2 linked regions of the Coturnix japonica genome follow. The protein of the gene in region 1 binds, or shares a complex with, the protein of each later gene. Links are inferred from orthologs where the notes say so. Each region holds a gene or a part of one and is shown in the gene's direction. Other genes may lie near its edges.

What was found. Proteins that work in one complex are often made in the same cells at the same time.
Region 2: SARNP (region 1) and THOC7 share a complex: the UniProt entries of both Homo sapiens proteins name them as parts of the transcription/export (TREX) complex. The link is inferred for Coturnix japonica from reciprocal best matches to the Homo sapiens genes SARNP and THOC7.

The regions. Positions count from the first base shown.
Region 1 is NC_029544.1:1,006,888-1,010,446, forward strand, and holds part of SARNP (SAP domain-containing ribonucleoprotein), read left to right. Parts: intron 1-407; coding exon 408-459; intron 460-2,541; coding exon 2,542-2,615; intron 2,616-2,901; coding exon 2,902-2,930; intron 2,931-3,314; coding exon 3,315-3,340; intron 3,341-3,536; coding exon 3,537-3,559. UniProt on the Homo sapiens protein: Binds both single-stranded and double-stranded DNA with higher affinity for the single-stranded form. Specifically binds to scaffold/matrix attachment region DNA. Also binds single-stranded RNA. Enhances RNA unwinding activity of DDX39A.
Region 2 is NC_029527.1:10,990,596-10,994,685, reverse strand, and holds the start of THOC7 (THO complex subunit 7 homolog), read left to right. Parts: upstream 1-1,246; 5' UTR 1,247-1,337; coding exon 1,338-1,356; intron 1,357-1,657; coding exon 1,658-1,775; intron 1,776-2,681; coding exon 2,682-2,809; intron 2,810-3,127; coding exon 3,128-3,214; intron 3,215-4,090. UniProt on the Homo sapiens protein: Component of the THO subcomplex of the TREX complex which is thought to couple mRNA transcription, processing and nuclear export, and which specifically associates with spliced mRNA and not with unspliced pre-mRNA.

The DNA.
Region 1 (3,559 bases):
CAGGATGTTTCTCATGCCTTAAATAGAGTTCATCCTTTCTCCCAGCCTATGTGAGTGGGTGTGAGTGCTGAGGGTGGTTCTTGTGTGTGCTTTGGGGGCTTCCAACTTGTTTCCCATCATTGCTTAAGGAACTCAGGGCTGCTGAAGGCACTCACTGAGCTAGGAGGAGAACTGGTGGCTGTGTCTTCACCAGCTCATTTGTTTCCTTACACAGCTCAGACCTCAGACTCCAGCATCACTGTCAGGGCTCTCAGCCTGCTCTTGTAACAGGGATGCTGACTGTTCCTCTTGAGAACAGAGCTTGACTTGAGGTGATGCTGGGTTTAGGAGGAGAGCCCTGATCTCTCTCTCATTGAGATGTGCTAATGGGAATTCTGACTGATGTTTCTCTTTCCCAACACTTGTAGGAGCACTGAAAAGAAAGTAGTGAAAATAACATCAGAAATCTCACAGATGGAGGTAAGGTTCCTTCTGCTGCTTCACCCTCATCCCCAAGGTATCACTTGGCTTGTTTGCTTCATTCAGAGTCTCTTTTTTTTTTTTACATTGCTGAGGCTTTGTCAGTGTTTGCACACATTGCAAACCATTATTTTGGCTTGGTTAATTAATTGGTTATTAATGACCAGGCTGCGGCTGCGGGCTGACCTAGCAGCAGCATGCTGACCCCACAGCACGTTCCGTTTTGCTGTGATCTTATGGAATGCTTCTCTCTGCAGTCTGGAGGTGCATCCTTCCTTGCTGCCATTTCTGACCCTACGTCGATATTTCCAACTTAGAGACAAGCTGAGCTGCTCCTGGTGCATCCTTCCATTGCAAAGATGGCTTAGTCTGATAGATATACACTGTCCCATTATAACTCCACTGTCTAAATTGTGCTGCCCTTCCTGCTGCAACATTCCCTGCAGTGATCCCCATCTGTGTCCCTCAGGGCTTGCTGTAAGCCTGCTTGCTTCAAACACCAAACTACAAAGCTTTGCTGAGGATATCCTTCAGGGAGCAATGAGTTTGGGAGACACTAACAGATCATCTCATCTTTATCTTCTGTAGCTTTGTCACTTGTATTTGCTGGGCTTATTTAAAACAAACACGCTTAGAAGCCTCTGATTCCTCTGGGAAAGCTTTGTGAAACTCAAAGTTTCAGGGATCTCACTCTGGTTCTCTAATCACCCCCCCCCCCCATTTTAGTTTTCCACTCGTGCTCCGTAAGAAAGCAGTCAGTATGAAAACATGATTCTTGTCTTCCTGCTGTTCGCTGCTGCTTTCGAGCTCTAATCTCCTGTTTGGGACAGGAGCATTTCCACAGCAACCACAGGGGGATGTCGCAAGCAGAGGATTATGACCTCAGCTGAAGGAGTAATGAAGAGCAACGTGGTACCTGGTGGAGGATTGATGTCCCCCTGTGATTCAGGGCTGCCCTTGGCCATAGCAGCTTAAAGAGCTCATTAACAGACCTGCTGACGTTACACACTCATCCTTTGTTGGGTTTTATTCCCCCCCCCTTCAAATTCCATAGAGCCAAATGAAAGGAAAACCACTGTTTTGGTATTTTATGGGGCTGTGTATGAACTGAATGGCTTCCAGCATCATTCAGATCTGTTAGAAGAGAGCATCGAGTTATTTATTCCATACGGTGCATCGTTGATTGTTGGAGGTGGGCTGCTCAAGTTGTAGGAAATATTGACCACTTCATAAAGCAAGGAGGCAGGTGACTGGCAGAGAAGCCCAACGAATCTTTGCCAATTGCCAAGCCTACTCTTGTTGAGACTATTATATGCTATACATGTTTAATACTTCTGAACATCAGGACCCATAGGACTGACAGGAGGAGGGCTACCTTCAGTCATTGCGCCTGGTTATATGGCTAAATAAATATTAGCTGGCTTTGCTTTACCTGTTTTCAGCAATAGCAGAATATTGAAAGGCTTCATTCACTGATGGAAGGTCAGAGGGGTCATTTCTTTGTGGGATGATCTGAGCTGTGCTGCCACTGCCTTCTATTGGGCTGTTGATCCAGCATGGCTTTTGTGTGGCCGCCCACTCTATTGGATATTTCTTTTGGATACCCTTCAAAGAGCGAGGATAAGGAAGTGTGCTTTGACCTGAGCGGTGCCACGTCTTTCTGTCTTCCAAGTGACTTCTCAGCTTCGGCGCTGACACCATTAGGAGTGACATTCCTAACCCATCTTCTCCAAACATTTATGTTTTGATGCAGATGTTTATTGCGCTCCTCGCTGAGCTTTTGGCCAAAGGAAATGTTTCCCTGAATATCGTATCTTGTTTCTCTAATCTCTAAAACACCAAACGCATTTCTGGGCCCTTGTGTAATAACAGAATGTGAGATATTTCCTTTCAGCTTTTAAAGGGGATTCGAATGGTTTTTTGGTGCACTTCTGATGTCCCCAAGCCTCTCTGTGTCTCGGGCACACGCACATGGAAGCGTTCGCCCATCCCTTATTAAGTCCATGTGCCTCTTTCCATTTCCTCTCTATAGACTTCCAGTCCTCACTCTCCTTCTCTGGATTCTTTTTCTCCCACCTCCAGAGAATGCAGAAGAGAGCTGAGCGCTTCAACGTGCCCGTGAGCCTGGAGAGCAAGAAGGCAGCGCGTGCAGCTCGGTGAGTCCCCCATCCTCACCTGGCACAGGCAGCAGCTGCATTGCTGCAATGAGGCTGTTTTCCCTTTGAAACAAGTGAGGAATTGCTGTTGGCACATATAGGAATTACTGTGGTAGCTCCATTAGCCAGTAATACCCACATCCCAGCTCCTCTCAAGCAGTCGGACTGAGGTACACTTAAGCATTTGGAGGAAGAGTCTGTGCTGTGCTTACTGAAGGCTTGATGTATTAGATACCCACCTCATGTTTGCTTGGGTCTCTCACTGAGCTCTGTTTGCTTTCTGCAGGTTTGGTTTGGCCACAGTTTCGACAAAAGGTGAGAAGGTGAAGCTGAACCAATTCATGGAGTGACCTTACTGCAAATATTTATTTATTCCTGGGAAAGAAAAAGTTGCTGGTGAGGCTGTCTTTGTTTTACCATCTGTCCACGCCCAGGGTTTCTGAGCAGGAGTTGTAGAGCTGGGATGAAAAGCATGTGAAAAGTCTTATGGGTGGGAAAAGCTGACTTGGGGATGACATTTGGAGGCTCATCCTTGAGTGAATGGTGTGGAAAGAGGGAGAAATGGGACAGCAGGTCTTCACTGGTCAGACTGGTGTGCGCTTCCAGCAGTGCTGTGACTTCATTGCTCCTCTTCTCAGATCAATTGCTGCTCCAGATATTTGCTCTCTAACTGAGTTTTCTGTTTTCTTCTCATCTCAGGCCTCTCTGCAGACAGCAAACCTACGGTAAGAGATGCTTCTTGTTCCTAAATTGGTTGTTCTGAGCAGTCTGGGTTCTGCTTTCAGGCCCAGCTTCCCAGCAGCACCAGCTGAGTTTTGGGGGAGCACAGCACTGGGGTTGTATTCTGGGGGCTGCAGCACAACCTTCTCCCCACAATGTGAGCGACAGTGATTTACAAACCAGTTTCCTGTGTCTTTGTAGGTAAACATGGATAAATTAAAGGA
Region 2 (4,090 bases), on another chromosome or scaffold:
CAGTTCGCACCCTCAACACCCAACAGTTCTGATCAACTTCTCATCACAGTAGAAAAGGAAAGAGCTAAGAGAATGGCATGAATAGTATTAAGTGTTGATAAGACCAGGATGCTCCAAGATGCTGAAGATAGGAGATCTAAGTAGGGTAGGAAAGCGCCACTTTTCACATCAAATTATATCACTCACAAATCACGCAGAGATACATAAAAATATCAAGAAAGCAGCATATTTACCCAGTTTTTCTACACTGGAAATACCTTCAATCCAGATGGAGCTTTAATGACCACTCTCTGTAGCCCTTCCCAATAGTGCCTCGCAAAGAACCTACCAGGTGCCACTTCACAAGTCAAAGTGCTGGCTTGCAACAATCTAGTAATATGTAAACCCCTGTTATACATCTCTATCCAGAACAAAAGAACCCGTCGTCACTCAGGGCTCTAAAACCAGGAAGATGGAGATGACACTACATGCTGACACGGTTCTTTCTTCCTTACACCCATTTTCTCTTAATACACAGCAACAAGCAGAATGAGTCTGCATGTACTTAGTGTCCAACCAAGAGGAGAAGGTAATGCCAAGATGTCAGGGCCTGGACATGCATCTCACATATCATTATTGTACCAATGTATCTTAAAGTAACATTATCAACTTTAGCATGGCACAGGTGTCAACATTTTGGTCCAAAAGGCGAAAACCCAACACTTGATCTCATCCAACAGCTTAATACCTCTTTTCTCCCGGCACACCCCAGCACCGGTTCACTTTTCCATATAGGAACAACCCGCTCTGGTTACCACCCACAGCACAGCACCCCAGGAAACACCTCAGGAACAACATTCCACATCCTTCCCTTGCCCCAATGCTCAGCCTCTTGTGTCAAGCCACACACCAGGGACTCATCCCAAGCGTGACCCGAGGCGCTCAGCCCATCTCCCCTCAGCCCACAGCGCCGGCCCCACGCCTCGATGCCAGGCGTCGAAGGGCGAGGGCCATGTGCCGAGGGCATGGCGGGGCGGCCCAGGAGGGGGGCGGCGGGGTCGTGGGCGCGGTGGTTGGGAGGTGGAGCCTGGCTGCGGGCGCGGGGACCTCCGCTTCCCTCCCCCGTCGGCCTCTCACCTGGCGGGGCCGCCCCTCGCCAGGGGGCCGGTTCCGCGCGGGGTGCGGGCCTCCCGGCCGGCCCTCCCCGCCGATGGGCCGCGCGTTCGCCGCCAGCCGGCTCAGGCCCCAGCCGCCGCCGCCGCCTCCCCCTCCATGGCCGCCGCTCTCTCCGGCTGCATTGTGGGAAGCTGACCTCACTCGCTGCTGCCGCCGCCCCGCCGGCTCCGCCGCTCGCCGCCATGGGGGCCGTGACCGACGGTGAGACCTCCTCCCTCCTGCCCTCCCTCTCGCTGTCCCCGCTCCGGGTTTCTCACCCCGGGGAAGCCACGCACCCCTGCGCGGCGGCCTCACCCCGCATGGAGCGCTTCCAGGCCGCTCCGCTGCGCTCAGTGCCGGGGCCTGGGGCTCCATCGGGCCTCTCGGGCCCAGCCTCCCTGCCGATCCCAGGCCCCGCGTATTGAACGCGTTTTATTTCACCCACATTCTGCTGGGTGAGCTCCTGCCGTGCCACACGCTTCCAGCACGGAGCGCTAAACACGAGTTGTTTTTTTTCCCACAGATGAAGTTATCCGCAAACGGCTTCTCATTGATGGAGACGGAGCTGGGGACGACAGGCGGATCAATCTGCTGGTGAAGAGTTTCATCAAGTGGTGTAACTCTGGATCTCAGGAGGAAGGGTATTTGTTGGCTGTTTTTAAGTCTTGAAACCTCATTGCTTTGCAGTTGAGCATAAAACTGAGCATCTGTTTAGACAAAGAAAGTAAACTGTGTTAAAATGCATCCATTTGGGCTGGATGTGGCTCTGGGCTCCGGTGGTTGGCAACCTTGCACACAGGAGGGGGTTGAAACTAGATGATCATTACAGTCCTATTCATAGCCATTCTATGATCTCTGCTATGTTCAGCCCTGTGTGGTTCTCTGGACAAAGCCCAGGAGCTGTGGCAAGAAACATGCACTGGAGATGGGTCAAAAATTACAGAGCAAACCATCCTGAAATCTAACAGCGAAGGCTCTGGAGGTTGGCACGTTGCTTCACGATTCAGCAGTCCCATTATTACAGCAGGATCACGACTTGAGTGTTCCATTTGGTGGCTCTGCATTTGTTCTGTTAGGTGGGGGCTGTGCTGCTTCTGCTGTACTGCCCTGAAAAGAAAGAAGAAAACAAACAGGCCAAAGAACTAAAGGTTAAGCAACATGTTGTTCTGCAGTAGGGTCTGTGCCGATGCTGGAGTGCAGGAGGGCACTCTGTGATGATGCTGTGCACAGAGAAGCACTGGAGTGTTAAAATATTAATCGTGGTGGGCACAGAGCTGGCTCTAGTTGGGAAGAGTATCATCCCTGGAGCAATCTGCCCATGCTGTAATGCTGCTTTATACCTTTATGATGATAAAATTAATCGGTGCAGCATTCATTTTTAACTGTACTTTTTGCAGTTGTGCACTGAATCTTTGAAGTCCTTTATTGCTTTAGTAATTGCTGTTTTAACTGTTCCGTACATTACCTGAGGCTTCATTTTCCTCGTGATATAAAAACAGGCAGGTATTTTCATGCTGCTGAGGAATAAATGTCTTGTTTGCTTTCAGTTACAGTCAGTACCAACGAATGCTGAGTACTTTATCGCAGTGTGAATTTTCAATGGGAAAAACTCTTCTGGTGTATGACATGAACCTGAGAGAGATGGAAAATTATGAAAAGATCTACAAGGATATAGGTAAAAAATGAGAAAAAAAATATTCTATGCTTATTTGAATTTCTCTTTCATAAAGAAACTCAAGTCAGTTCTGATAAACAAAATGTAAACATGAGATGGGTGACAGAAAAACTATTTTAATACCACTCATACTTGCCCTCGTGTTTTGTCAGTGTGTAAAATGTGTATAAGTAAAATATGTTTTTAGTCTGTCAAGGCATAGATGGTTTTGAAGCCCGTGGAGATAGCAGGCAGTATAAAATACAAAGTGCTGTTTGTGATGATTTAGCTGAATGGATTGATGGCGTTTGTTGTTTGATTTGTGTCTTTCTGTTAAAGAAAATAGTATAGCTGCAGCACACGAGAAGATTTCTGAATGCAAGAAACAAATCCTGCAAGCAAAAAGAATTAGAAAGAATCGCCAGGGTAAGCAGCATTATCTACACTGGGTGGTTTTATTAATGTGTTATCTTTTAAAATACATTGTACTGGAAAACAGATGACATATTTCTTGAAAACTCAGAAGAAAATGCTCTCCATCGATGCTACATAGAGCATTATCTGGTAGGTTCCACACAGACTGCTGAAAGTTTGGTTGTTGAGGTTAAGGCAGTAAATCTTAGTGATGTAACATGAGGAGAACTTAGAGAGTAGCTCAGAGGTGTTCTCAAGCCAAAGAAACCCTCCCAAGCATCCTTTGACAATTCAGTTGGCTTAAGAACTAAAGCACATTAGTAGCAGCAAGACAAAAGAGTTAAATAAGCTTACAACCAACACTGAAAGTTATATAAGTATATTCCTTCAGCTCTTTAGAAGGAAAAGTAGTACCTAATACAAGAACAGTTGTACCAGTTGCATACTCATTTTACATGGCCTTGCAAAATACCTCTAAACCAGGTATTACAGACATCTGTTCCTTATCCTTAAAAGACATACTGATATTTTTAGTTGAAATTTAAAACATTGCCCTGTAAGTCTTATCAAAATTTAGCAATTGGGAAGGTAAAATTTTGCTTCCTAAAAAGTGAAATGTAAAAATAGTTGAAAAGAAAGAAAGAAAGACCAGCTGTAACAGGTGAAAGGTTTTAAAACCTTTAAAAACACATGCACATATGATTTGTGGATAATGTTAGACTCTATTATTAGAGACTGAAAAAAGCCTTAAGCAGTAGGAAAGTAGAGTACTTAAATCTTCACAAGCACGGATCTGAAGTGTTTGCTTTTGAAGATGTTCTGCCCACGTTTTCCATCTGAATGTGGTGGTTAGTGTACATAGAATAGTACCTTCAAGAACTGTCCACC